Diceros bicornis minor: one gene and its partners. The protein of the gene in region 3 interacts with the protein of the main gene of each other region in a pairwise test. Links are inferred from orthologs where the notes say so. Each region holds a gene or a part of one and is shown on either strand. Other genes may lie near its edges. The genes, in order: MAT2B, TSSC4, KPNA3 and ERCC3.

Region 1 (7,973 bases), on a different chromosome or scaffold from region 3:
TTTGTTGATTATCATTATAGCTCTTGTTGTTGTTATGCAGATATTTCCAAAAATCTATGTGGTCTACTTTGTTGATCTTTTTACTTTTGGTTTCTGAATTTCATGATATGCTTATAAAAGGCTTCTTCACTCCATAATTATTCTACACAATTTCCTCTAGTACTTTTGTTCCACATTTTACTTAAGCTATTTTAATCTATCAAGAACTTATTTTAGTATAAGTGAAGTAGGAATCCAGCCTTATTGTTTTTAATGATTCATTTTTAATTTATTATCTTTATCCCCTAATAAATTCCCATAGGCATATTTGAATCTAGCTGAGTTGATTAGTATAATAGTATCTTTCACACAAACCTGGGAGGTTAAGAGAAAGATCAGGTTTGGTGGACAAGATGAAGAATTAATATTAAATTTACTTTCAATTTCTTGGAACTGTGAGTTTGATATGCCAGAGGGACATACAGGTAAAGATGCCTTTTAGGCATCTGGAATGGGGAAACTATAGCTTGGGAGAGAATTTGTGTCAAAGCCATTCATGTGGGTGTCAGATTCACAGAAATGGGAACAGCTGGGATGGCCAAAGCAGAGGGTAGTTTACAAAGAGAAAGGATGTTGTGAAAAAGAAGAAACAAAACCCTTTGTTTTTGCCCTTGGGGTATCATAATAACTTAGAGATGTATTTCTCAAACTTGAAAAATGTATGCATACCCTAGGAAGGAAAAAGATTTTGACTTCTTAGATCCTAATGAGTTTAGAAATTTAAATACTGTCCATTTAATTCATGACTTGGTACCAATGCAAACGTTAACACTATCTCAAATACTAGATCCTAGATACTAGATCCTAGAAATTGTTGACCGAGTCTAAGGTTGGGACCCAAATGATCCAAAATATGTATTATTGTTTTAAAATTGAGGTATAAATTATGTACAGTAATACAGATAGTGAAATGAACACATCTTAACTGTTACATTTTGATGAGTTTTGATAAACGTATATACCCATGTTACCCACACTCCGATCAAGATATAAAACACTTCCATTACCTCAGGAAGTTTTTTATGCCCTTCACAGTCAATCCCTACCCTTCCCCTAAGGCAAGATAATTTCTTTCACTATAGATTAGTGTCACCTGTTTTAGAATTTCACCTGTCTCTGGCTTCTTTCACTCAGCATAATGATTCTGACATTCATTCATATAGTTCACTTCTTTGTATAGCTGAGTAAAATTCACAGTATGGATATATCAAATTTGTCTATCCATTCATCCATTGATGGACGTTTGGGTTGTTTCCAGTTTTAGGTTATTTTGAATTAAGCTGCTATGAATATTCTTGGGCAAGTATTTATGGATATATGCTTGCATTTCTCCTGGGTAAGCACCTAGAAGTGGAATTACTGGGCTGTGGGATAGGTATATATTTAGCTTTATAATAAACTGCCAAATAGTTGTCTAAAGTGGTTGTTTTTGTTATTTTCCCACTAGCAATGGATGAGCTTTCTAGTTGCTCAAAATGCTTGTTCGCATATGATATTACCAATCTTCTTAAATTTTAGCCTTTCTGTTAGGCATGTAATGGTATCTCAATGTGATTTTAACTAGCGTTTCTCTGATGTTGAGAATCTTTGTATGTGATCCTGGCCATTCTTATGTCTTCACTTTGTGAAGTATCTGTTCAAAAATTATGTTCATTTTCAAAATTATTTTTTAAAAATAATTGAGTTGTAGGAGTTCTTTAAAAATTCTGAATAGAAGTCCTTTTCAGATATATGTATGCAGATTATTTTTTCCCAGCCTGTGTTTTGCTTATTCATTTTTTTAACATTGTCTTTCAATGAACAGAAGTTTTTAATTCATTAAAATTCATCAATTTTAAAAAACTGTATAGTTCTTCATTACTTCATTACCTCTGCATGCCTCATAGAGTTTAACATGTGCTGTGTTCTCTAAGTGGTTATAGAGTTAAGTGATTTTTTCTTTTAGCTCCATCTGAATGGCCATTTTGTTGTTGTTCTTAAATCGTTACAGAGCCATAACCCAGAACAGTGGTTCAAAATTTAACTGAGGTTATTCATCACTTTTGTAATTGTTAAAAATAAGATTGCTGGGCTCCACTCCTGATTTTGTTTCATAGGTTCTGTGGTGCAGGCAGGTTTGGGAATCCCTGATCTAGAAGTCCTTAATGTTTGGCCAAACCTAAAGTTTTTCTCAAACAGAAGGCACGACAATGTTAATGGAAATGACCAGTTGCAGTTTCATTTCTGCCTGCTGTTACCACCGGTGCCTCTTACGGTCCTTTGACATAGTTAATTAGAGAGCACTGGGGGTGGGGGGTGGGGGGAAGCACTGGAGAACTTTACGAAATAGATTCTGTTGAAATAAGGCATAATGATACAATATTTCAAAACAGGACTCAATTTCAACAGAGAAAATTTCAACAAGTCTTCAAGGAAGTTTTTTTTTAAATAAGTTGGTTTTCCTAATGGTTTTGCTAATAAATCCTCACTTGGCTGGCAATTAAACATGAAACTTCTCATTGGGTATTTTCGAGACCGCCACGGGGAATCAGCTGCCAGTTTACTGCAATGTGGAAAACTGCACGAGATTCTGGGATTGGAATCAAAATGCTAATTTAAAAGGTCGAGTGAAGCTGCGGCTCCCGTTTTTGCGTGCCTGCGCTCTGTGCAGGCATAACAAAGACCGAGCCAGAGCAGGCAGAGGCTGAGACACAACCCAACTCTATTTTCCTGAGATAATTTTGGAATCATGCCTGAAATGCCGGAGGACATGGAACAGGTAAGAGCTAGCTATTCATGAAATGAAGTATTCTGGAGTTAGAGTTGCTTTAAAAGCATCCCAGTGAATGTCAGGTAAAAGCCGGAAGGTTGTGTTAAAAAAAAAAACGAAAGAAAGAAAGAAAGAAACGGTGTCATTCATTTCCTTGAAACATATAACTTTGGGACATGCAAGAATAAACCAATTTAAATTTGGGAACCAGGTTACGGAGAGCTCAGCTAAGTCTCGTTAATTGACAAAAATAAAATGCAAAACAGAACAGCAGTTTCATTTACCAGATTATTTGCAATGATGTAGGCGAAGTTTCTATATAAATAAGGATTTTATCTATAGTTGTGTGCTCCAGCCCTTCTTTGTCTTGGCATGAATCAGGATGCTCTCTTTAAACTTATAGTCTTAGCCACACGAAGTTGAATATTGTCTGTATAACGATGGTGTTTTTGTTCACAAAGAAACTTTCATCTTTAAACAGAATAATTAAAAATCATACACGAACATATGCTCCTAGAACTATACCCAAGTTTTACCTGGCAAGTATCAAACCATATTCTCAAATAATAGGCAACTAAACTCTTTTTGATCCTCACCCTAGGCAAGGCTGCTCTGAGCATCAAAATGCTAATTGCATATGCATGTCCTTAAATCTTTTTCACGTTGAACACTTAATTTTTTTCCCAGAAAGATTAGATTGCATCACACCTTGCAACTAGAAACTTTAAAAAATTTCCCAGTTTTTAAAGGGAGGAGGATTAAGAGGATCTTGAATCTGCTTCCCTGAACTCACACTTGCCTTTTCTTTGTTTGCAGATCATGCATGTTTAGTGCTGGGACAGTTCTCTGAAGGACTTTCTAAAACTGATTAACAGTAACAGCCTGGATTAAAACAAAAATCGAAAAGTGAGGGGCCTCAGGCGCCCTTCCGTTACTGTTCCAAAGAAACTTTATATTTACACAAAGAAGGAAATGAGTTTTTTTTCTTGGGGGTTGGGTAGGAAGGAAAGTCACGGGACTCAGACGTGAAATAACTTTTTAAAAAGGCTGCTTAGTCTCTAGCTGTAAGCTTAAACCAAAAAGGATTACGAAAATAAGGCCTTTTAGAAAAGATCCCAAGCAGTAGTCACGTTTGTGGGCGACTTGTAGGTCTTGGTATCCCGTGTGTCTGGACAAGGACACTCAGAGTGTTCGGTGACAAGTTGGGGAACCCTACAGGGTCTAGGCTGGTTTTTTTTTTTTTTCTGAGTAAATTTCACAGGCGCCGCGGCTGGCGGGGGACTTGCAGGTTTTGAACTGGAAAGGCAATCATTTGCCTGCTAGGGCAGCCTCAACACTTAGAGCTATTTCTCATCTATACTTAAAAGACGCGCGTTACAGGTGGCAGAAGGTCCAGCAGTGCTCTCTTCCCTTGGTGCCTTCTTTAATTTTCGGTGATTGCAGAGGCTCGGCACCTGTAGCCCAACTCGGCAGCCCCTAAGGCGCTGCTTCTCTAAGGGTGCTCTTAACACATGTTAAATCAACTAACTGGAGTCCCACCGATTCTCATTCTGATTATTGGGCAGGTCCGAGAATCTACGTTTTGAAGAGGCACCCAAATAATTCATCCCCCTTGCCCCCACCTTTTTAACTTGTTAAAAATGGTTTGCCATCTTTGGAATTTCACACGTACTATTCTTTTAGCATCCCAGAAAGACAAATGGGTTCTTGAGGTGTTAATGACTCAAATGCCAACACTTTTTTAATTCCATGCCTCTTTCTAAATCTCTCTAGAGATACTATGTCCATTGTGCTTCCCCTCGCCTCACTGCCCATGTCTTTAAAATATTTTATCCCACTTTATATATATTACATGCCCAGTTGTTTCTTATGCACTGCTCACAGTCTGCAAAATTGAAACTCGAGGCAATCCGATTCAATCCTTCCCTACACAAGAAGAAAGAAAGCAGAGAAACAAATCCCCCAACATAAAACTTGTGTTGGCTGTTTAAGGCCGAGGCCTTTGTTTCGTGCAGCCCTTACGAGTTGGCGCGTGGGCCAGGGGCGGCCGGAGGGCCCCCTCGCCCTGCCTGGGGTGTCGGCGGAGCGTGGCCAATCACCGCGCGCGGCCGGGGCGGCGGAAGCCGGAAGTGGTGAGTGGGGGCCGGCCCGGACTCGGGGAGGCGGGCCGAAGGCGACGGAACCGCGGCCCGTAGCGATCCTGGGCTGGGGAAGTGGCGGTCGCTGCGGCGGCGGCGCGAAGACGGCGGGCATGGTGGGAAGGGAGAAGGAGCTCTCCATCCACTTTGTTCCTGGGAACTGCCAGCTGGTGGAGGTGAGGGAGTCGGCCCGGGGGTCTCGGAGTCGGGGGCGCAGAGGGAGACGGGCCAGGTCGTGGAGGCTCGAGTGGTTTTCCAGGCGCGTCTTGCCGAGTCGGGGCCGCCGCCGTGATTCGCCTCGGCGCCGCCTCTCCAGCCCCGGGAGGCGAGGGCGGTGCCCCCAAGTTTGTTAATCTCGGCGCGCACCCGTCGGTGTTTTCTTTATCAGCTGCTGCGGCAGGAAATGAGTAGGTCGGATTTCACTTCCGAATCTTCTGCCTTCCTAGGAACGAAGAGGGATTTTCAGAGCTGTTGCAGTTTTGATTCTTCCTGAATTTCTTTTTCATCCTTTGTTCGTTTTCCTCGATCTTACCAGGTTGTATCTCTAAGAAGGGGAAAGGAGGCTTTCCAGAAATTATGACAGTATTAGAGATGACAATTTACTGAACTCTTAGTTTATACGAGGCACTGTTATGCACTTTACATGTATTATTTACTTTAATCCTCATAACTGTGAGATCTGTTTTTGCTCCATTTTACGGATGAGACAATCGAGGCTTAGAGGGTGAGTCCTTGGCTCAAGTTCATTGAGTAAGGTTGGAGCCGGGATTCAAATACAGGTCTGTTTGACTGTCTCAGGCTTTGAAGCACTACGGAGGTTGCATAAAGGAAGGCTATTACTGTGTTTGCGAGAGCCATCCCTGGCATTCCCCCTCCCCTCACCCCACCCCATTCTCTCTATTCTGTTCCAAGCCCCCCAGCATTCATCAGTCCACAGGGGATTAGAAGACTGTTAATGCCCAGACTAGTATGTCTTATGGCTATACGAAAGGATTTAGGAGACGGCTGTTTTCGATAATGCAAAAGGTTTATGCCTCCAAAATGTTCCATATTTAGTGTTTTCAAATCGCTTTGGGATTTTTGGGGGTAAAGTTAGGATGGATGGGCTATTAAACCTCTGTATTGTTCTTATGTACCCCAAACAATATTGAATAGATAATGTTACATATTGTTTACTTTAATTTGTATGCATATGCATACATGTATGTATATGTGCATGTATAAAGCTTAATCAGTTTTCACAGTAGGAGTTCAGTAGACTAATGGAAATGGGTTTTCCTTCATTAAAAATGGTACAACCAAAAGCTTGGCACATATTTGCTGCTCTCAAAACCTGTGGAATTAAAATTCACTCGTGAGAATGAGTGAATTTTGAAGCTAGTCTTATAGTTGATGTTAGATAAGCAGACTAATGGTTTCTGTTAATAATACTGGCTGTGGAGTACAATAGGGTGACAGCAGGAGTTAGACCAGTGTCACCTAGGTTGTCATGGGATCATAAAAAGTTTCTTACAAGTCTTGGAATGTCTACTGAAAGATCTCCCTCCGGGGAATGTTGTGAGGACCAATTAAAGACATGAATATGGAACTTTGCCAAATTTAAGAGGTTCTGAAAATAGCAAAGTATTATTATATTTACCACTAAAACTTAAGAAGATCCCTCTTTAGATGTTAGTAATGTTTCAGTCTTTACTTTTTCTAGGACATTTTTAGTTAGAAGTTGATGCAGGTGTCTTCAAGTAGAAGTCACTGTCCCAGAGTACTGCTTTGGACCGTTTTTGAAAGAGCTCTTTATCTCCCATTACCTATACAGTTTGGTGTCATTTAATTAAATAGTATCATAAGAGCAGTAGTTCCACATTTATTTATATGTATTTAATTTTTTGAGAATTTTTTTGGTGTCTATAAACCTGGTCACCTGAAGTTATTGAATTCTGTACGTCTAAGAGTTTATACGATAAGAGGCAAATGTGTTCTCTGAGTAACTTAAAGTGATGTTTGAGATACTTAACCCATAAGATAATGAAAATTGAGAAAGTAGGCTTTTCAGGCAGAATATTTTGAACTCTTGATTGCGGTTTGGGTTAACTAGACAGCTTTTTATTCCATTGTAAGTTCCTCGAGGTGTTTGGACATTCCTGTTTTGCAGGACTAAAATAATTTATAGAGTAATCGTCCAAAGTAGTTTTTAGAGGAGTATTTCTTTTCTTTTAAAAAGAAAAAAATCAAAACTATGCTTTTAAAAGCTTCAGGTAGAGTTCTGTTTGTATATAGAAACTCAAAAATAGAACAGTTATTTTTGTTTGGCATCTTTTAATTTCAGAGTGATGCATATTTTATTTGCCAACCACCAATAAAGTTGCAATCCAAATGAAAAAATCTTGTTTTGGCTCCTTACTGGTGACAGAAGGTGCTCAATGAGTCTCAAGAGAATTATGTGAAAAGAGGAAAAGTTATTTAAGTAAATGAAGCTCCTTTCACTCTATTGAGACCCCTTTGTGGTAAGGATAACATGGAAAATGTTAGAGTTTTAGAACTGTAAAGCTGGAAGACCCTTAGTCATCTTGTTCAAATGCCTCATTTTACCAATGAGGAATTAGATCAGCAGAGATGGAGTAACTTCTCAATACTGCAGTTTGTGGCAGAGCAGATTAAATTTAATCATCATGAAACCAAATATAAGTTCAAAGGATTGAGACAACTCTGTATGTATTTGGCTGACCATAGAAGCAAGACGACCTAAGTTCTGGTCCCAACATTTTCCCCGTTACTGTGGGCAAAACCTTTAACCTCTAGACTTCAGGTTCCTCACTTTGGAAATAATAACTGCCCTGCCTAACAAGGCTATTCTTATGATCAAAAAGTATGATGTAGGTTTATATAACAAGTGTACAATTGTGCAGAATCATTTCTGTTTGAGAAATTGCTTGCACTTCAGATCTCTGCTCTTTTAATAAAGAAAATTTTGAGCAGTGACATCTGACCACCGAGTACTGTGAACTGTTTCATATTTTCTTTTAGGGACCTTACATATTGCCCCAGGGTAT
Region 2 (6,967 bases), on a different chromosome or scaffold from region 3:
GCAGCCCGTCAGCTCCCTTCCCAAAGGAGTGGGGACGGGGCCCGCGGCACCTGCCCCTAAAGCCACCCTATGTGGGCAGTGGCCCCCGGCAGCCCCTCCAACACCAGCCCACGGGCAGCCTGGTTGGGGAAGGCTGGCTGGGCAGTCTCTCCTCTCAGACCTCAGCACCCGAGGCCTCGGGGCTGCTGCCCTTGTTCCGGAAGTGGTCTCTACTCCGCTTCCTGCTGCCGTGGAAGCCAACAGTCTCCACCACTGGGGACCCTGCTGCTGACCCGGTGTGGGCGGCCCCCTCTGGCGTGTCCACCTCCTGCAGGACCCCACAGGGGCTGCTCCACTCCTCAGCCTCCGGGCTCCCAGGCCCAGCCAGGTGGGCCAGCTCCACAGGACCCTCACCCCCCACCACTGCTGGGTTCCCAGGGGCACCCCTGCCCCGCTCTCCCGCCTTCCTCAGGACCCTCTTCCTTTCAGGTCTGGCCTCGCCAGCTCGGGCCGGTTTGGTGAAGATGACTCTTCCCTCCCCGCAGCTGGAGGGATCCTGGTTGAAGGAGGGCACGTAGTTGCTGGGGGCAGCCAGGCTCTGGGAGCCCAGGAAGGCCATGGCGGCGGCCCGGTTGCTCTGCTCGCTGGCCTCGGCCACGTCTTCCAGGCTGTACTTGGTCCAACGCTCGGGATGGGCCACGTAGTCAGGGACAGGCCTGCCTAGGCCCTCTGCTGGAGGCTGGCTTGAGGGCAGCCGGGGCCGCTTGAAGCCCCCATTGTCACCCATGCCAGTTTGGGGCACAGAGGGCAGAGCCCGCCTGGCTGCCCCCTCCAGGCAGTCGAAGATGTTGTGGCTGCGCTGAGAGAAGGTGGTGCTCGTGCCTCTCAGGTGGAACGCCTGCACCTCAACTGTGGGGAAGCCCCTGGGGGATGAGGGGGACTCATCGGGGTCTGAATCCCCCTGGGCCTCCCCAGGAAGCCCCTCTGGGGACAGAGCTTCCACATCAGCACCGCTCGGTAGGCTGACGTCGGAGTCTGAGTCGCTAAGGGAGACGGTGTCGGAAGGCAGGGTGTTATACTCTGTCCCCTGCTCGACGTCCAAGCCAAGAGAGGCCTCGCCTGCCTCTGCCTCAGCCATGTGTCCCAAGGCCACGCCACACCTAGACCAAAACAGCCCAGCAAACAGTTTCTGAGAACAGCACGCATTTAGAACAAACTCCTCCTGCAGACCTACTGCACCCAGCAGGCAGCAGGATCAGCAGAAAGAACTGTGTCCTACAAAGGAAGGGACAGTCCCTCTCCACTCCCCAAGAGCCCTCCTCACCTCCCTTGTCTTCTGGGTGCCTGTGCTGACACTGGAGTGCTGGTGGGAGGAGCGCTGCCAAAGGTCCGTGGCGGCAAAGGCGTGGTGGCCTCAGTCCCAGAAGTCCCCCGGCACAGCTCTGTTCAGCTGCGGCTCAACTGTAGGCGGCTGAGACTGGGGAAGGAAAGCCAGCCATCAGACCACAGTGAGCGTGCAGAAGTGGTGCCACAACCCCGGGAGTGGACCCGGGTTTCCGGAGCCCCCATACAGGCCAGGTCCAGGAGCAGGCCCTCTGTCATGTCACCTCATTCAATTCTCTCGAGCTAAGCCTAACTTGACAACTAGGGGCCTGCTGGGGGACGGGGAATTCTAGTAGCAGGCGGCCAGCCAGGGCTTGAACCCCGAGATGAGAGCAGCCTCTGCTTGACACTACCACTCTTGACCAAGGAGGGTCATTCATAAACTGCTCAGCACAGCGCGAGGCACCCAGGAAGTACTCCACCAAGACTGGAGCACTTTGCCCTGTCTGTGGGGAGCAGGTTTGCTCCTGATTGCTGGAGTTGCTCTGAGAGCTCAGAGGGGTCTGCAGCCAGGTCCTGGGCACCTGAGGGTCAAAGCTCTCAGGGAACTGGGTGTCAGTGATCACCTGGAGCAGCCTCGCTGGGCAGAGGCAAGCCCCCGCGGCCCCTAGAGCATTTCTCCTCTAACTCGCTACACACCCCCACCTTCCCCAGCTGAGCAGAGAACTGCTGAGGACACTCGAGTGTCCGAGTGTGACCAGGCACCCGCAGCTTTGTTTCCAGGTTCAGAGGCAGCCCAGCCTCACCCATCCGTCCACCAACTCCCCTTCCCCGGAGAAGCCTCCCTAGCCCAGGGTGACCCATTGCTCCTGCTCCCACTGAAGACCTGGCCAGGCGGAGCAGGAGCGGCCCCGAGAGCCCCGCACCAGGTCAGACACGGGCGAGATCTCCATTCCTCTGCGGCATGACTCCCAAACGAGGGAACGACTAAAAGAGAGAACAAGGAGAGGAGCACACCCCACCGGGGGGTTCCAGAGCAGGCAGGGCCGGGGGGACAGATAATCTGCCCGTCACACAGCACGTCGCACGCACGGCTGGAGTTCCGAGCAGACCCCGGCTCCCCAAATCCGCACTCCCGTCCCCTGCACCGCCGGGGACGCCGCCGCGCCTACGACAAGACGCCTGACCAGCGGGGCGCTCGGGGCAGACGGGAGCCTGTCTCTGGGAGCTCTCTGGGAACTGCGGGAGCTCAGAGAAGGCAGAGCCGAGTCCGGGCTGAGGGGTCGGGGGTCCCCGGGAGCGGGACCACTGGCCTCCTTGCCGGTTCTCTCCCCGTCGGAGGCAGAGCCGTGACTTCCTGCACTCGCGCCCAGCAGGCTCTCGTGCCGAGGCCTGGGTCTTGGGGACCCAGTCGGGCTGGGTGAGGAAGTGTCCGGGCCTCACGAGGCACGGGGGCCCGACGGCCAGGCCGCGAGACATGAGGAACAAAGAGCACGTTGGGGTCTCAGGGCTCGGGGCAGCAGCCTGCGAGACCCAACCGGCCTGCGCCGCCGTCCTACCTCACCACAAACCTACCAGCTCACGGTGGCCCGCCCGGCCATCTCCATCTTGCACCGCCTCCATCCTGCGCCGCGCTCGGATCTCTGGGAAACCGAGTCCTCCGCCGGCCGAGCGCCAAGGCTTCCGCGCCTGAAGAACTACATCTCCCACAAGGCACTGGACCGCTACTCCCGAGGCCTGTCGGGACGTGTAGTCCTTGCGCATGCGCCCTCGCTTCTCTCCCTGACCTCCCCTCCCCGGAAACGTCGGAACTCCTTCCCCAAGAGCCCGGAATTGATTAGGGAGAGGAGGGAAGGGAGGAGAAGGGACTGCGACTCCCAGAATGCTCGAGGGCTAACTGCTGGCGCCGGTTTCCTTGGGCCTCAGCGCCACCTGCCGGAAGGCCCGAGAACAGTAGTCCCTCAGGCCGGAAGTGCATCATCACGCGCAGCGTTGTTCCCGGGCACTTCCGGTCCTGGCCGGAAGCGGCTGATCGCGCTCGTCGTAGGTCCTAGGAGCAGGCCGCGCCTCAGGTAGAGTGCTCGTCGCAGCCGCCGAGGGGGTCATGGTCGGGCTAGCCTGCTTGCCGATGGCTGATGGTCCAGCTGGTCTCTTCCGCCCGGGAGCGGAGGACAGGCCCCGGCTCCCTGGACAGGCGCTTGTCCCTCGTCCCCGGGCCCAGCGGCCGCCACCCGCCCCTTCCCCGCTGGGCCGCGCCGTGCCCGAGTCCAGGCGCCTCGGCTCCCGCCTGCTGGACGGCCGGACCTCGGCCTCTCCCAGGGCTGCATCCCCGGAGTCCAGGGACCCGGAGAGGAAACGGGGCCCGTTCCTGTGCAGCCTCGGGACTCCCCATTTCCCCCCCCCGCACTAATTGTGTAGTGTCACATCGCAGCTTACAGGTGACAGACACCTAAGCCCTGGCCAGGACATCCCCGGGTAAAAAGGGGGCTCTTCGACCATCCCGTCCTTCTGGCCGACCCGACCCGGCAAGCTCGGTGGAGGGGTATGGTGAGAGCGGCAGGCCCGCTGAGACCCTCCCCCCCGACCCCCAGCGCAGGTCTGGGGTTCGTTTCCAAAATCTGCCCCCAGGGAGGCGGCCGGGTGCCCGCGACATGAATCCCAGCCAGGCCTTTGTGGCCTCAAGGGGTCAATTTTAACACACACGCAGGTCCGTGCCTGCCTATAGCTCACAGTGATGTCACCCAGCCTTCCAGACGGGGCAGCAGCCAGATCCAAGAGGCAGCTAGACCTCAGTCCACCGTGGTGGGCCAGGTGGGCTCCCGCAGGCAGTCGTAGAGGCCCTCTGATCCAGCGCCTGCACGATGGGGCTTAAGCCCTGAGCCACCCAGCTCCTCAACAGAACATTTAGAGGCACCTAGACGGGGAGGGACAGGGCCGGGGCCAGGCGTCCAGCCTCCACAGAGCCCTCCGTCAGGAGAGTCTTGCAGGCCCCCCACCTCAAACATCTGCTGCACCGCATTCTCTGGCCGCCCTGTCCCCCCTGCTCCTTCCAGGCAGTGGTGCAGCAGGAGGAGTAGGGGAGAGGTTGGCTGGAGACTGCTGCAGGTGGCACAGGGCCCAAGAAAGGGGGCTGTCCTGGGGGGGGGGGGGTCTGTCTTCACCCACCAACAGAGTTGGCAGCACACCCTGGGCCCAGCAAGGTCCACAGAGCTAAGCCCCATGCGTGCCAGGCTCCCCTTCCCCTCCGGCCACCCCCTGGGTCTTGGACGATGCAGGCACAGGAAGGGGCTGGACAGTTTGTGAGCATGCCTGGTTTTTCTTTCTTTATTGAATGACTTTCAAGATGTAATTACAGTTGAAGGTGACACGTTAGAAAGGAGAGGTGCATTAAAGGCATAAGGCCGCTCGTAGACCCCGCTCTAGAGACAGGTGGCAGGAGAGGAACATGGATTAAAAACGGCCTGAGCCCTGCAGCCTATGGGGACAGGTGGGTGGGAGGATGCAGCTCCACCAGAAGGCCCGCGAGGTCCCCTGGAGAGGGCTGGCTGAGCAGGCAGAGCCCCCAGGCGGCCCCAGGGGCAGAGGGGGCCCCTGCCCTGCAGTCCCCAGGGTCCAGTCACATACCACCTACAGGTGACATCAACCCCAGAAGGTAATGGGGAACTTCAGGACCAAAACAAAACCTCAAAAGTAAAAAGACTAATAAGTGCAGCAGAGTAATAATACCAGAAAAGTTATATACACAGGTGGTGAGAGGCCCTCTGCAGAAGTGTCCGGGTCGCCCTGGGGATGCCGCAGGGGTCCCACCGGCCTGGCCTGCGGCCCGAGTGGCCGGAGCCTCAGTACACGGAGCTGTTCCGGATGCCACAGCAGAGCACCATGCTCAGGATCATCTCGAAGATCTGCGGGGAGGGGGCGGGCAAGCTGGTCAGCACCCACAGACCCGTGGAGGGCTCTGAGCAGACGCCCCACCTGCCCGCTCACCATGATCACTGCCACTACGATGGCGGCAATGCCGATGAGGTACAGCTTCCCCGAGAAGAGCTCATCGATCTTCTTGTGGCAATCTTCCTGTGGGGGATGGCCACAGGCGGTCAGGGGCACTGGTCCGCAGGACCCCCGGACTGCAGCAGCCGGATCATTGTAGAAAGAGCATGGAGGGGCACGGCCCCTGCCCCTCAGAAGAGGTGTGAACAACACCCAGTCTCTCCATTTTAAACCAAATGTGGAACCGAGGGACGGGCTGTGTGCTCCCTGTTCCACTCAGAGATCACTGGGCATTGATGGGCGTTGACCCAGCGGTCAGGGCGCCCTCCATGCCTGCTCGGGTACGGGTAGAGCTAGCGGAGGAGGAGAGCTCCCCCACTGGGAACCCAGGGCACAGTCGCCCCGCTATGGGCCGTCAGTACAAACTCAGCCTTGGCCCAGCCCCACAGGCAGAACAGCCCTGACTCTAGCCACAGTGCCGCTGTGTAGCTGTGGCCCACCCACCACCCAGGACCCACTGAGAGGGGAGGGTGGCAGCGAAGTGGGGGAGCAGGCAGGCCCAGCCCCACCCAGCCCCTGGGAGGTCCCACCCACCACCCACACCTTGAATAAGTTGGGTATAACCTTGCCGCCCGAGGGACACAGGTCGTTCCTGAACCCAGGGGTGGTCGTTGCGAATGGCGTGCTGGAGCCACAGCAGTTGAGCTGCAGAGAGCAAGCATGCCCACGGTCAGTCCTGGGCGCGGGCAAGATGACGCAAGGGGAGATGCACGAGGATAGGCATCCCACAGGCTGCAGGGGCCCCAGCAGCTGCCCCGGCCTGGCATGGTGCTGCGGGGGTGGGATAGTCCCCTCCAGGGGGAGCACCAAACCCAGGCGCCCCCTCCTTCCCTGCCTCTCACTCAGCTGTGCTGCTCAGAGACCCATGAACCCCAGCCGGCCTGAACTGTCTCGTTCCCACCAGGGACCCACAGGTCCCAGAGAAGCCCCCACAGGGCTCGCAGACGGCCCCACAGCCCTCAAGGAGAGGGCTGCCAGGTCTCAAGTGTCCCTTCTGCTCCGGAGGTCTGGGCTGAGGCCTAGCTGGGCCTCAACTGAGGGGACAAACACCTTCATCCACCTGGCCTCCCCTGGTCCCCCTCGACCCCTTCCCCGCCTCCCCCCATCTCCCGCACCGTCTCGTGGAAAGTCTTCACCACAGCCTTGGCCTTGGCCTTGGCGTTGTCGCTGTCGCTGTCGCTTTTGCTGAGTGTCACGGCCTGCTGCAAGGCCTGGTCGTAGAACTGCTTCACGTCCTTGGCGATCTGGGGGAGGGGTGGGGTCACATGCACAGCGGGGACCATCCCCAGAGACAGCGTTCACCTGACTCTCCCAGAAGGTATCACTTCCAGGACAGCCCAGCTGCAACCCAGAAGCTGGGAGTCGGGCAGCCCTGCCTCCATGCCACCGCCTCCAGAAAGCCCTCTGTGGTCTCCCTCCCAGGCCAGTCCCAGAGAGCACCCCGCAACCCGACCCGTCTCCCACAGCCTGAGCAGCAGGTGCTCCCCCCCGCCGCCCCTCCGGGCTGGGACTGGCCCTCCCCTATGGACTCAGGCTCACCTGGTCCTTGTTGACAAAGCCCCAGATGCCGGCAGCCACTTCGCAGGCAAACAGGATCACCAGACAGGTGAAGAACTGG
Region 3 (7,477 bases):
CCCTCTCCCCACTCACAATTCTCTGGCATAACTCTACACTTTTATTTTCTTTAGAAAATATGTATTTCATTCTTGCATCGAGCATCTTATTTGTGTATCAGCTAGTTGTATAATTTATACTATATCTTTTATCTATCCTATATGTGAAAAGGTAGGAATGATATCTTGCCAGAGCGAATCTCACTGTTTTGAAATAGCCTGATGATCGCTACTTAGTCACAGAGCTAAATCGTAGTATAAGTTTTTAATGTAATATAGTTTCTAATGGATAAGACTAAATTAGTTATGGTGTTTAGTCTTAGCGATACCTAAATCCACAATAAAGGATCAGATTTGATTAGATTTGACCCCAGTTTACCCTTTAGTCACATCTCGAGCACTCCTTTCTCTCACAGCAGTCCTACTACATTCTCTCAGGACTCTTCAATTACTGCCACCTCAAGTCTGGAATGCCCCTTCCTTGCCCTCTCCCTTTCCCCGGCCAACTTTCTTTCATCCTTCAGGATCAGCTCATTCCCATCAATCCACCAGGAATCAACCAGAACATCTCTCTTGACTGCTCAGCTCCAAGTTAGCATCTCTTCATGCATTCTCAGAATACACTTATTGATGTACTGCATTGTAATTATCAATTTACTTTTCTATCATTCCTACTGAACAGCAATCTCCTTGAGGAACTGCAAACTCCTTGAGGGACAGACTGAATTTTACTCCCTTTTGATCCCCAAGACGTAACATTATCAGACACCCAATAGACAATTAGTGAACAAATGCTCGTACCCACTTCGTGACCTTGCGCAGGCTACATGAAGCACTCTTGAGTTTCCTCATCTAAAGTGCTTTCCTTCTGTAAAGTGGGGACAATGCCATACCAAGCTCATAAAGTTGTTATAAGGATAAAATGAGGTATCATGAAGCTCTTAGTTTAGTCTCTGTCATATAGAACTACCATTTGAATGTCTGCCATTTCACCCCTTCGTTACCCTAATGTATCCTGGGAAACGTGATGTTGTTACTACCAATAGTTTCAGACTGAAAGGCTTAGCAACCACGTATCTTTTTCATGCATCCAGAAGTCACTGGTTACATTCTGATCATCAGCAAATATTTATTGTGCACTTATTACATGCAGGAATCCCTACTAGGTATCACTGTGTTCCCAGAACACAGTAACAGAGGCAAACAATAAAACAAAAACCTGTAACAACACCCAAGAAAGGAAAGAAAGTTGTCAGCTCTTCTCTACAAACAACATGCTTATTTTTCAAACTACATAAGTTTTGCTTTATAACAGGGGTAAGCTTCAAGAACAACTACTGATGGAAAAAGTTCAAAATTAACTCCTATCATCAAGTGGACCAATAACAGGAGGCAGTTCCAAAATTTCTTGTTGCTCTTCCTAAGTTTCACTTTTGCTTAGAAGTATTTCTCACAAAAGAAATTTAACCATGACCGAGGCAGAGATAGACGACCTTTATCTGTCTCATTCAAACGGGAATTCCACAGTATTTCCCTAGGTTTTTTCCAATTAGTATTTAATTTTGGAGCTCTGAAAAATGGCCTGAGTTTTGTCTGGTTTTCTACGAAACAAGGCTGAATGGCATATTTTCCCCACCACCTTCTCTCTGAGACAAAATGCACACTTCCTAGTCACACTGGCCCCTTAGCAAGAATTACAAAACTGCAAATCATGTCATCTAGCATTAGAAAAAAAGACTGTGGACTTAAAACCACTTTCCCCCTAACAAATCCAGAGGTCAAAGTCCCAGTGAAGTTTATGCATTATACTACACTGCTTTTAGTAGCTGCAGAGAGACCTCTAGCGCTGCCTCAATAAGCCGAGTTTGCAAATAGTACCTGCTAATGTCACCTTAATGAGACAATGGCAACATGCTGAGTAGCAACGAACTGTGACCACGATGAATGTTTACAGTTTTGCAACCACTCGGAAATTCTTCCAGCTGGGAGCAAGAGGTATATATAAGGCCGTATGAACCTACGTATCCAATTTATTTCAGTAAAACATGTCAAAGAAATTATTATCCTATACACACCCTCACTACAAGAAAGGCTAAGAAAACAAGTCTTGTGAGCGGAGGTCGGAACAACGTCTCTTCCGAAGCCTCAACACAATAGATGGTAAACTATTGTCCACCTTCAGCTTGCTCCAAATGCCAGCAGTAACAAGAGTATGAGCTGGATCAGCTCAGCACGACTAGTCCAAAGGACAGCCTTGGAATATCAGAAAATGGTCCTGGCGCATCCTACCCTCCCCCATCCACCACCCTCAAACAAGTCAGTTACCCGGCTGGTCCCCACCCCCCTCTGCGGGCCGCCACCGCCCGCCTGGGCCCGGCTCGCAGGAGGCAGGCGCGGGGACCGGCAGAGCCGAGGCTCCATGTGCGGCAGGGCGGGACGCAGCGAGGGGCTGCGCCGGGCGGGAGGCTGCACGGGCAGCCGGCGCGAGCCGCGCCGCCCCCTCGGCGGTGCGGTCGACTGACCGGGGCGGCAGCATCCCCGGCCCGCGAGGCCCCGGCCCGCGGACCCCGCCTCAGCTCTACATCCCTTCCTCGCCGACAGCAGGCCGCGCCCGCGTGACGGAGCCGAAAACCCCGGCATTTCCCGGTCCCCGCGCCGGCAGCCCCGGAGGGTGGCTGCAGCCCGGCCCGCGTCCCGCCGTCCGCTCCGCCCAGCCCCGGGCCGCGGTGACGGCAGGCGGCGGCCAACTCTGACCCACCGCGAGCCGGCGAGAACCAGCCCGGCGCCGGCCCCCCGCCCCTCCCCGCCGCCGGGGGCCAGCGCGGCCAGGCGGGCGAGCCGGGCGGGCCCCGACCGCGGAAGCACACTCACTTCCACATCGCGGCCCTTGTTCTTAAAGCTCTTGATGCGGTGGTTCTCCAAGCCGGGGTTCTCAGCCATGGCTGCGCGCGGCTCCGGCGGCGGCTACTCCTGCGGCTGCGGCGACGGCGGCGAGTCTCGGCGCGGGAGGGGGAGGTGGGGGAGGACGGGATGGGAAGGGAGGGGGAGGGGGAGAGGCGAGCACGTTCCGTGACGCCTCCGAGCGCGAGGTGGCAGCAGCGCCGGGGGAGGCGCAGGCCGTCGGCCGGGCGGGGAGGAGTGGGGCGGGAACAGCGCAGAGGAGCTGCGCGCGCGCCCGGGGAGGCTGGGGGTCACGTGACCAGGGGCGGCCACGGGCCTGGACTCCGGCTGATTGTGCCCGGTTGTTCTCGGGGTGACTCCCACCCCACCCAACAAGGCCTTCCCGCAACCCCTAGGGCCTGCAAGTCCTGTGCCAACAACGGAGCCGTACTGAGCGGCTTTACTGCCCGCTAGACGCGGAGCACTGGGGGGGGGGGGGGGGACTACAGTTCCCAGCATGCCAGACTCCAGTGGGGGTAATTCTCCTAGCCTTGACAGAACGAAAAGAATGCCGGGAACACTAAGCGCGCGCCTTTCTGCGCGGCGCGCTCTGAGCTCCTTGTCGCGAAGCTCCGCCTCTAAGGCCGCCTCTGGGCGGGGAAGCGGGAGGAGCTTCCCCGGAGACGGCACCTTGCGCCCTATTGGGAAGGAGGGGGCAGGGCTTTCTGAGAGGCTCACCTCTCTCCCTGCAGCCTAGAAAATGCATAACCGACGCAGGGTTCGTGGTTTGCTCACTTGCTTCTCTGGGGTCTCGTGGAGTATCAGCCACCCTCCTTCGCTGTTCTCTTGGTCTGCTTTGGTTTTATAAATAGCATTCATTTCCACCTGACATGTACATATGTATGTATGTGATATGTGTGTTTATGTGTGTGTTACCTAGCTTATCGCACCGGAATTAACTCAGTAAGAGCAGGGACGTTGGCTGAATCCCTTGCATCAAAAGTGCCTGGCACGTCGTGAATACTCCATAAATACCTGAACAAATGAGCGCTCTAGCGTCTCTCGGTTTCTTCATCATCCTTCCAAGCCCGGTTCTGCAACCTTCATTATAGGAGGTCCTGCATTTCTGTGCCCCAAACACCTCTTGTTCCACCACCACACATAATCTTCTCAGCCTTTAGGCAGCAGTCAAGTACTCGTCCGCAGACTCGCCAGTCTAGCATCTCTCTTTAGATGTCATCGGAGGAATGATCAAGGGAAATTTGGATCTATAACACTAATAGAGTATTGCTTTCTGGAGCAAGTGGACTTCTTTGATTATATGTGAAATAATTCAGTTTCAGAATCTATGGCAGATAGAAGAGGTATGCGATGTTACAGTACAATTCAAATGACACTGAGGTCATTCAAACGTTGGTAGAAATATAACCATAAAGAGATTAAAGAAGACATTCTTTCAAAGCAAAGGGGCCTTGAAGAGCCTGGGTCCAGAGGTAAAAAAATGAGGCCTTTGGTGGCCAGGCTATGTCTGGGGCATTTGTTTTGTTAGTGATGGGACATTGGCTTTTTGATAAAACACAGGCCCATTTAAAGGCTTCAGACCATTGTTGCCATATTGTACTGTGGGCCAGTCTTGCCAAAGGTTCATTTTTTTAAGGCAAACCAAAAAGCTGGGTTCTTTTTACTTCATTTTTAAATGTTGATTCACATTTTCTAATGCACTTCTGTGAATCAGTCACTTTAGAACTCCAGGCTCTTACTTTGTACTATGTGATCCTAGTCCAACCACTCATTTGAAGAGGGGGAAAAAAACCAAAACTGAAGCTTAGAGTGAATAGATTGCTTCAACTCTAGTTCTTCAGGTGATGGAAAGTGCATGTTTGCCACTTTCGCTGATTGACTGGAAGAGAAACTTCTAGACTGTTGCTCAGTCTCTATTATAATTGAGCAAGGCATTCTCTTTTCAGGTTACTTTACCCCCTGCTACCACTTCTCTTCACCCTACTTGCTGTCATCAGATGTGTTGTCTTTCATCATTCTGAAGTTTTAGACATATTTAGTGAGCACTTACCATGTGTCAGTCATTGCACCAACACTAGGATACATTTGTAAACAAGACAGCCTGGTTCCTGCTTCCACACAGCTTCGTGTCTTTCAGAGTAGACAGACAATAAAATAAGTGGTCACCCCAAAAGTGTGGTGGGTGTCAAGGCTCACAGTAGGGAGATCTTTATAACCTGCTGATTCCTAAGACTCCTTACATATGAGGGCAAGATCACAAATGGAGGTCTACATAGCACATATATAAATATTTAAAAATTATACATCAAGCTTACAAACTTAAATAAAATATATTCTAACCTTTGACATTGACAAATGCACTTCCTTTGCAACCTGGAAGTCTGGGTTTGAATTCTAACGTCCCAACTTCTTGGACTTCTGCTTCAGAATTTGGTGGTGCAAAGAGGGCTGGAAGCCAGCCCCCAGCCCATTTTTTGTTCTTCTTCTCTTCCATGTCCCGGCGCCATCCTATACTGGAATAGACCTTAAGAACATGTGTGCATACCTCTACCCACGAAGTTCAAGTCCTGCTTCTCACCACTAAAGCTCTATTTACATCCCCCTACCCACCTCAAGAGATGCCCCTTAGCCATTGCTCAGGCCTAGAGCGTGCAAAGCAGTAGCATCGTGTGCCCCCAAAGGGATGGACCCAGGAAAGAGGCCTGAGAAGGCCCTGGAAGGAGGCGTGGCCATTGAGCAGGGAACCCCAGGGCTCTGGTATCCAGAGCTGGGTCTAGAGGCAAGGTTCCAGTGAGCATGAATCCTTGGCCGCATGGACTCCCGACGGGGAGTGGTGCAGCTGAAGAGAGCCAGAGTGAGGTCCTCTAAAGGGCAGGGTCCAGAGCAGGGCCCCCTCTTGCCCAGGTCTAACTTAGTCAGTTTTACTCTTTGCCATTATCCCTGGTGACTTCAACATCCACACACCTGGTACCCTGACCCCAGAGTCTCTCCACATTCTTAACTCTACCAGATTTCTACCACTTGTAGCTCCCACCAGGCCTTAGAGTTCTTAATCTCTGGGAAATAACTGCCTCCAGTGACTCAAATTTGGTGCTTCCCGTTGTTAGCAACCATCTCCTCTTTTCCCTCACTCTAGTCTTTGCCTTTGCCCTGAAACTTCTCCTGACAACTCTTCTTTTAAATAGATTTCTTTTCCAAACATATTTTTAGTATCCACCATATATCAAGCATTGTATCCATCAGGGACTTACATTAAGGAGCAGGGGAGTGGGGAGCAGAGCAGAGACAGGAAGGAAGGGCCCTCAAAGCCTGGGTGGTCAGTCACACTCTTCTTCTTCCTCTGACTCACCACCCACCTTCCCAGCGGATAGTCAGGTGGCAATACGCAGAAGGCAACACAAACACAACAGATCCAACATGGAGTTCCTGATTTTCCTCCTGAAGCTCTTTCTGCAAATTTGCCTACTCTGTTAATGGCATAACCATTCTTCCAGGGACTCCACTCAAAGCTAAGAGCCATCTTTACTCCCTGCCTCTCTCCCAACTCCCTCACCTAGTCACCTTGTTAATTCACCACTCAGTGCTTCTTGAATCTGGCTCTTCTTCCCATGCCACCCACAAGTCCACCTTAAGGCATCCTAACTGGTTCCCCTGCCTCCTCCATCCTCTCCACAACAATCTGACTAACTTCTCCAGATCTTCCTGATTTTACCTCTTCTCCCCACATCCAGTACACCCCTCCCCCTCACCATTGTCAAATCATTTCTAAATTCCTCAGTCTGGTGGTTAAGAACATGTGTGATCCAGCCACAGTGCAGTACACTTTTCTTATTTCTGACTCCCCTGCACAGAGCTTATGCTTCAGCTAACATGTTCTACTCAACCCTTCCCAAGTATGTCTTAGCCTTTCCAGCCTTCATATCTTTGCTGTTCAATTTATCTATAAAGCCCTGGCCCTATCTCTACCTGTCAAAATTGGTCCCTCTTTAAATGCTCAGCCTAAGAGTTTGCCCTCTCCGTGAAGCTTTCCCAGCATGGTGCAGTAGAGGGACCGGCAGAATCTGAACACTCAGACCCACTCAGAGTTCTGAACACTCGGAATCTGGTAGGGTTGACTTCCTACCAGAGCAAGCCCAGGCAAGTCACCTTCCTTGAACCATCTTCTCATCTACGAATGAGAATTCTGAATCGCTGGGTTTTTGTGAGAATTAAGTTGGAAGTGCTTTGAAATTGCTACATTAATGTTAGTTGTTAACTGTCTTTCCAACCAGGAGTGATATCTTCCTCTCTGAACTTCAGAAGAACTTACCTACTGTTTTGTATTGCTAAAATTTGTGTAGTCTTAACTCTCTCACTCCCCTGTAAACCCTTGAAATAGCTTGTACATATTTGGGTTCCCCAGCCTAGAATAATTGGATCTCATGCATGTTTTCTGAATGAATAAGTGAATTAATGAGTGAATAAATGAACTCCTTCCTTCCCTCATGATCATGTTTTGGCTATTTCACATCTCTCTGAGAGCACCTGAAGCAAAAAGTGAATACAGAAAATTGAAGAAAATGACACTCAAATTCATCAACCCACTCACCTCGCAGTG
Region 4 (7,422 bases), on a different chromosome or scaffold from region 3:
ACAGCACTGCACCAACACCTACATTCCTGTAGGCAGCTCCCAGCCAAGACTGAGCACAACCAGGGTGCTGATGTAGGCTCATTCCAGTGAGGTGCAGGCCCTTCTCCCTGGGCACCCTTCCACACACAAGAAGAGAAAACTCTCTCCAGGGCTCCTGCCAGCTTCTCTGAGATTGGATACATTACTGTGCTGGATGCCTATGGCACTCATCTTCTGCCACTCCAGATTTAGGGGTCTGAATCCAACTCCCTTTAGACCAGCAGAGGGCACCAAAAGCCACCGTCCATCTCTTCTAAATGGCATTCACGTATCTCTCAGAACAAACCCAAGCATGTTCAAGGTGCTCTTCACATGGAACCCTACCCACTTCAACATCTGAAGTTCTTTTTGACTTTCCCTAATGGAAATTGTGACCATTGGTGCAGGTATTCAGCCTTAGATGGAGTTTACCACCTGTATTAGTCTGCTTGGGCTACCATACAGAACACCACAGATTGGGTGGTTTAACAACAGAAACTTATTTCTAGAAGTCCACGATCAAGAAGCCAGGGATTCAGTTTCTAGTGAAGGCTCTCTTCCTGGCTTGCAGAGGGCTACCTTCTTGCTGTGTGCTCACATGACCTCTTCTTGTGCATGTGCAAAGAAAGAAAGAGAGCACATGAGTCTTCTGGTGTCTCCTCTGATAAGGACACTAATCCTATCGGATCAGGGCCCTACTCTCATGACTTCACTTAACCATAACTACTTCCTTACTCCAAATACAATCACATTAGGGGTTAGGGCTTCAATATGAATTTTGGAGGGGATACAATTCAGTCCATAACATCATTCACTTTGCACTGCATTCCCAAATAACCCTGGCCAGAATGGGCCTAAATTACTACCCCCACTGTGTTAGTACCCACTGGCTAACAGCAGCTCATGGTAAGTGTGGCCTCAGCAAGAACACAATGCTGGATCCAGAGAAGCAGCAGCTAGGGTAATCAGTTTTTATGCTCCCCACACTAGCTCTGAATGGCATTTTCATGACCGCCACAGGTTAACAAAATGTAGCACCTGTCTCCACTATTACCACATTGACAAGTAGGGCAAAAGAGCCAGCCTCAGCCTCCACTTGCCTTAATAAACTGAATAATCCCATCAGGTACTCCCGTCTTGCTGAGCTTCCTGAGGTACTCAGTGATGTCACTGGTCTGCAGCCCAACGCTGACAGCTGCATACAGGGAGTAGGCAGTTAGTTTGTACTCATGTACATGGGTTGGTCGGCACACTGGCTCTGCAATAGCCACCAGGAAGTCTTGAGCATATTTGTAAACTGGAGAGAAGGCTTCTAAGAAGATGTGGCCATCAGGAGCCTGAGAAACACCAAACCGTCACAACAGACAAGGAAACTAATGAGTTGCAGAGATTATTAGACTCTTTCTCTTATCATTATCTAGAAGAGATAAGCTGCCCCAAAAGTGATCTTTAAGTGTTTCAACACCAGGGATATTTTTGTAAGCACTCCTTCAGTCAACTGGGGGGCCTGTTACTTAATCAGATACAAAGAACAGAGAGGAAAAGAAGTAAAGGTTTTCAAAGTCAGTAGCTGCTTCCCACTATTCTTCACAGGGAAAGCCTACCTTACTGGCTCTCCTCAAGTTCCCTTTGGGCTAGACTTCAAATAAAATGTAGAACATTAATGACTTCAAGTTGAGCAAAAAGTTGCCTACCAAATATATACATATATATGTCTCCCATTAATTTTTAAAAATGGGGAACTTGGGGCTGGCCCCATGGCTTAGTGGTTAAGCGCACACGCTCCGCTATTGGCAGCCCGGGGTTCAGATCCCAGGCGTGCACCAACGCACCACTTGTTCAGCCATGCTGAGGCCGCGTCCCACATACAGCAACTAAAAGGACGTGCAACTATGACATACAACTATCTACTGGGGCTTTGGGGAAAAAAAAGGAGGAGGATTGGCAATAGATGTTAGCTCAGAGCCGGTCTTCCTCAGCAAAAAGAGGAGGATTAGCATGGATGTTAGCTCAGGGCTGATCTTCCTCACCAAAAAAAATAAAAATAAAAAATAAATAAAAACGAGGAACTAAAATGTTACATAATAAATGCCATTTATTTGGTAGATAAAAGTATTTCCAAATATGCAGTAGAACTATCGAGGGAAGGGGAGTAAAAGGAGGGGTTAGAGATGAAGGAAGCCCACGTCTAGCCGGCCCATGTGTGCATCCCTCCTGCTTATTCCCATCTCGGGCTGTTCAAACTGTGTAGGAAAGCTCTCTTCCAGCCAGTCCTTAAGAGCACTACCCTGCATTTCCACTTTGGCCCCACAGACTCTGGGGCCCTGCCTGGCTGAGAGCATGCTTACCACCCAGAGGGGCCTGGAGCTGTGGTCGTCCTTCAGCGGCATCTGCAGCCTGTAGTCCTTGGCCCCATACTCATCCACTTTGGTGCCGGACTCATCTACCTGCTTCCCGGCCGCCGAGGGCACCGCCTCCTGAGAGTCGTTCCCGGGGGCGTCGTCTTCATCTTCTTCCTCGTCCTCATAGTGCCGCTTCTTGGACTTCTTCTTATCTGCAGATGCGGACACAGAAGTGAGCCGGGCAGGAGAAGCCCAGGGTCCCCTCCGCACCGCCCAGCTGCATTCCGGGGGAACCTGACCGCAGCCGTCTGCCACCAGCGCCACGCACTCCCAGAGGGGTCCACCTGCAGCCGGGGCGACTCTCCCTCAAACCTTCCCACCCGGCAGGACGCGGGGCTGCCCAAAGACCCAAGCTCGCCCCCGCCCAGCGGCCCGTCGGGACACGGGTGTGCAGGCCGAGGGGCGGCGGGGTCGAGCAGCGCGGGGCAGCTACGACACAGGACGACGGAGACGGCAAGTGCAGGTAGGCCCAGGCACGCCCCCGCCGCGTCTCACCGCGCTCCGCCCGGTCTCTTTTGCCCATGGCGGCTACAGCCCCAGTCCACCACCGCCGCCGGCCCGCCGCGGCTACAGGTCCCAGGGAGACTTCCGGTTCACACAGGAAGCTCTTTCGGCAACCACACAGGAAGTCCCGCCTCTGGGTGCCGGGTCGCCGGGCAGGCGACGGCGCGTGGCGGCCGAGCAGCGTGTGTGGTGTGACCCTGGCGGAGGCTCCTTTCTCCCCATTCTTTGCTGTAGTCAGTCAATGAAATATTTGTTGAGCACCTGTTGTGATCGTCCAGGCACTGTTTTAGCCGCTGGGGTAGGACAGTGAACAATGTCAAGCCCTTGGCCTCCTGGCGCTTAAGTTCTAGTAGAGAGGTGTGGGCAGTAAACAAATACGGTGCTAAGAGCTCTAAAGAGAAATAAAACGGCCCGCAGTGACAGGTAGTGTCATTCTAAATGGAGTGGTCCCGGAAAACCTCTGAAGTGGTGTTATTTCAGCAAAAGATCTGAAGAAAGTGAGACAGTGTCCTATGTAAGTACCAGGGAGGAGCAGTGCGGGCACAGGTGTGAGGCCGACACAGGGTTGGCGTCGTCGAAGAGGAGGCTGAGAGGGAGCAGTATGGCTGGGAGACGTAGGGGAGAGGACATAGTACAGTACATGTAGTGTAGTGGTTCTTCAAATGGGGTCCCCTGGCTGCATCAACATCATATGGAAACTGGTGATAACTAATTAGAAAGGCGCAAATACAAAGTATCTGGCCCCATCCCAGACCTATTGAATCATGAAATTCTGCAGGTGGGCCCAACAGTCTGGCCCTCCAGAAGATTCTGATGCTTACGTTTGAGAACCACTGATGTAGAGCTTTGTAGGCCATTGCAAAAACTTTGGATTTTATTTTGAAATGGGAAACCACTGGAGAGTTTTGAGCAGAGAAGTGACAATCTGATTTAGTATTAAAGGATCACTCTACACTGGCTGCTATGTTGAAGATAGACTTTATAAGGTCAAGGGCAGCTAATGCTGCCCTCCAGTTGAGAAATTGTTGGCTTTACCAGGGTGGTAGGGATAAAGGTGATGAAGGGTGATTCCGTTCTGAATATATTTTGAAGTTAGAGCAGCATTTGCTGACTGACTGGATATGGAAAGTGAGGGAGAGGACTAACGGAGAACTCCAAGGTTTTTGGTCTGAGCAACTGCAAAAATGGTGTACCTTAGGGAAGGTTCAGATTGAAAGGTGTTTTGGACATTTTGAATGTGAGTGGCTATATTAGTTGGCTGGAGTGCTGTAACAGACTGTGTGACTTAAACAACAGAAATTTATTTTCTCACAGCTCACAGTTCTCACAGCCAGGAGGCTGGAAGTCCAAGATGAAGATCTTTCTCTCTTCCTGGCTTCAGTTGGCCACCCTCTTGCCTTCTCACTATGTCCTCACATGGGAGTTAAAAGAAAGGCAAGCTCTCTGGTGTCTCTTCCTCTTCACATGAGGGCACCAGCTTTGTCAGATTAGGGCTCCACCCTTATGATCTCATTTAACCTTTATCACCTCACAGGCTCTGTCTCCAAATACAGTCACGTCGGGGGTTAGAGCTTTAACATGAATTTTGGGGAGGATGCAATTCAGTCCATAGAAGTGGCCTATTAGACAATTAAATGAAGTGTCAAGAATGCAGTTGGATGTAAGTCTAAAGTTCAGGGACCTAGAAATATAAGTTTGGGAATTGTCAACCTATTGGTGGTACTGAAGCTATAGAACTGATTGAGGTTACCTAGGGAATGAATGTAGTTAAAGCAAAGGTCTGGAACATTTCACAGTGAAGAGGCTGGAAGATGAAGGAGAACTGGGCAACACCAGTTGAGGAGCAGTCAGTGGGAGAGGAAAATCAGGAGTCCTGGAAGTCCTGCTTTTATTTCATTTCATTTTAAGGTGGAGGAAGTGATCGGCTATATTAGATGCTGCTGATCAGCTGAGCAAATTGAAGACTGAGACCCAGCCACAGGATTGGCAATGTAGAGATCACTTCTCAGCTTAATGACCTTCAGTAAATTGAAGGTTTGTTGGTCTCTGCCCTAAATGAATTTCACTTACTCAAGAAGTGGAGGAGCCACACCTTTTTTTTTTTTTTTTTTGTGAGGAAGATCAGCCCTGAGCTAACATCCGATGCCAATCCTCCTCTTTACGCTGAGGAAGGCTGGCCCTGGGCTAACATCCGTGCCCATCTTCCTCCACTTTATGTGGGACGCCACCACAGCATGGCTTCACAAGCAGTGCGTCGGTGCGCGCCCGGGATCCGAACCTGCAAACCCCGAGCCACCAAAGCGGAGCGCGTGCACCTAACAGCTGCGCCACCGGGCTGGCCCCAGAACCACACCTGTAAAACTGGTTTTTGCATTTTTATATTTTCCCTCTGATTTAAGTAATACATGCCATGTAAAAATCTTGGAAAGCAGAGAAAAGCATAGCAAAGGCTATTTAAATCATGGATAACACTATCCCTAGCTATCTACATTTTGGGTTATTTTCTTCCAGGCTTTTTTTCTGTGAGTTGCTCTTTTTACACCATGAAGATGTTATTTGAACATATAATTTTATATCCTTCTAACATAAGCTTTATCCACCCCTCATTAAAATGAATGTTTAATGAGTACTTAATTTTCCATTGTATGGCAGTATTATAATTTATTTAGTCAAACCCTAATTTTGGGGCATTGGGATAGTTCCAGTTTATCCTATTATACATAGCCCTGTGATGAATATCATTGGATATAAGTCTTTAACTGCATCTGGGATTGTTTTTTTAAGGCAAATTCTGAGAAATAGAAATAGTGGATTAAACATATGGCCTTTTTTTTTAAAGCTCTTTCTGCCAAACCTGGTTAATTTTACTGAAGATGATGAGGAAGAATGGCTAATCTAACATTAAGAAAATATTTTGTGTGAGACAGCAAGATGGAAGAAAGGAACAAAAGTACTACAAAACTATGTGAAATCAATTAGCAAAAAGCAATAGTAAGTTCTTATTTATCAATAATTACTTTAAATGTAGATGGGTCAAAGGGTAAAAACTTTCTGTTATAAGAAGAATAAGTTCTAAAGATCTAATGTACAGCGTGGTGACTGTAGTTAATAATGTATTGTATACTTGAAATTTGCTGAGAGTAGATCTTAAGAGTTAGCACCACACACACACACACAGACACACGCACACACAATGAATTAGCTATGTGAGGTGATGGATGTGTTAATTAACTTGATTGTAGTAATTATTTCACAGTGTATGCATATATCAAATCATCACATTGTACACCTAAATATATATAATTTTAGGTGTCAATTATTCCTTAATAAATCTGGAAAAATAAGAAAATAAAAACAAAAAAATATTTTGTGAACTAATATTTGACAAGAAAATTCAATGGGGAAAGGATAGTCTCTTCAATAAATAGTGTTGGAAAAACTGGATAACCACATGCAGAAAATGAAATTGGACCCCTAAATAACACCACTCACAAAAGTTAACTCAAAATGGGTTAAAGACTTAAATATAATACCTGAAACTATATAACTCATAGGAAAAAAAAACAGAGAAAGAACTCCTTGACATTGGTTTTGGCAATGATTCTTTAGATATAACACCAAAAGCACAAGCAACAAAGGCAAAAATAAATAAGTGGGACTACAACAAACTAGAAAGCTTCTGTACAGCAAAAGGAACAATCAACAAAATGAAAAGGCAACCTATGGAATGGGAAAAAATATTTGCAAACCATATATCTGATAAGGGGTTCATATCCAAATTATGTAAAGACGGTATACAACTCAATACAAAAAAAACAAACAATCCAATATAAAAATGGGCAGAGGAACTGAACAGACATTTTTCCAAAGAAGACATACAAATAGTCAACAGGTACATGAAAGGACACAACATCACAAATCATCAGGGAAATGCAAATGAAAACCACAATGAGATATCACCTCACATTTGTTAGAATGGCTACCATCAAAAAGACAAGAGATAGCAAATGTTGGCAAGGATGTGGAGAAAAGAGGACCCTGGTGCACTGCTGGTGGGAGTGTAAATTGGTACAGCCACTATGGAAAACAGCATGGAGGTTCCTCAAAAAATTAAAAATAGAACTATTGTATGATCCAGCAATACCACTTGTGGATATATATTCAAAGGAAATGAAAACAGGATCTCGAAAAGATATCTGCACTCTCATGTTTATTGCAGCATTATTCACTATAGTCAAGATATGGAAACAACCTAAGTGTCTGTCAAGGAATGAATGGATAAAGATATGGTATATATATATACAATGGAATATTATTCAGCCATGAAAAATAAGGAAATCCTGCCATTTGCGACAATATGGATGGACTTTGAGGGCATTATGCTAAGTGAAATAGGTCAAACAGAGAAAGACAAATACTGTATGTATATGTAAAATCTAAAAAAATCTGGACTTATGAAAACATAGAGTAGAGTGGTAGTTACTAGGGGCTAGGGGGT

The links.
Region 1: the proteins of KPNA3 (region 3) and MAT2B interact in binary tests that used the Homo sapiens proteins (3 or more experiments, as listed by UniProt). The two-hybrid records come from large-scale screens. The link is inferred for Diceros bicornis minor from reciprocal best matches to the Homo sapiens genes KPNA3 and MAT2B.
Region 2: the proteins of KPNA3 (region 3) and TSSC4 interact in binary tests that used the Homo sapiens proteins (3 or more experiments, as listed by UniProt). The two-hybrid records come from large-scale screens. The link is inferred for Diceros bicornis minor from reciprocal best matches to the Homo sapiens genes KPNA3 and TSSC4.
Region 4: the proteins of KPNA3 (region 3) and ERCC3 interact in binary tests that used the Homo sapiens proteins (3 or more experiments, as listed by UniProt). The link is inferred for Diceros bicornis minor from reciprocal best matches to the Homo sapiens genes KPNA3 and ERCC3.

What each region holds. Positions count from the first base shown.
Region 1 is NC_080740.1:78,415,240-78,423,212, forward strand, and holds the start of MAT2B (methionine adenosyltransferase 2 subunit beta), read left to right. Parts: upstream 1-4,968; 5' UTR 4,969-5,039; coding exon 5,040-5,102; intron 5,103-7,973.
Region 2 is NC_080770.1:2,325,167-2,332,133, forward strand, and holds the start of TSSC4 (U5 small nuclear ribonucleoprotein TSSC4), read right to left. Parts: upstream 3,004-6,967; 5' UTR 2,878-3,003; intron 2,825-2,877; exon of another isoform or gene 2,182-2,824; intron 1,457-2,181; 5' UTR 1,304-1,456; intron 1,140-1,303; 5' UTR 1,118-1,139; coding exon 155-1,117; 3' UTR 1-154. Other genes in the region: CD81 antigen, read right to left, coding at 5,142-5,204, 5,287-5,373, 5,893-5,994, 6,465-6,593, 6,889-6,963. UniProt on the Homo sapiens protein: Protein associated with the U5 snRNP, during its maturation and its post-splicing recycling and which is required for spliceosomal tri-snRNP complex assembly in the nucleus.
Region 3 is NC_080748.1:27,437,445-27,444,921, reverse strand, and holds the start of KPNA3 (importin subunit alpha-4), read right to left. Parts: upstream 3,008-7,477; 5' UTR 2,920-3,007; coding exon 2,851-2,919; intron 1-2,850. UniProt on the Homo sapiens protein: Functions in nuclear protein import as an adapter protein for nuclear receptor KPNB1. Binds specifically and directly to substrates containing either a simple or bipartite NLS motif.
Region 4 is NC_080749.1:5,633,541-5,640,962, reverse strand, and holds the start of ERCC3 (general transcription and DNA repair factor IIH helicase subunit XPB), read right to left. Parts: upstream 3,010-7,422; 5' UTR 2,944-3,009; coding exon 2,916-2,943; intron 2,573-2,915; coding exon 2,367-2,572; intron 1,356-2,366; coding exon 1,119-1,355; intron 1-1,118. UniProt on the Homo sapiens protein: ATP-dependent 3'-5' DNA helicase/translocase. Binds dsDNA rather than ssDNA, unzipping it in a translocase rather than classical helicase activity. Component of the general transcription and DNA repair factor IIH (TFIIH) core complex.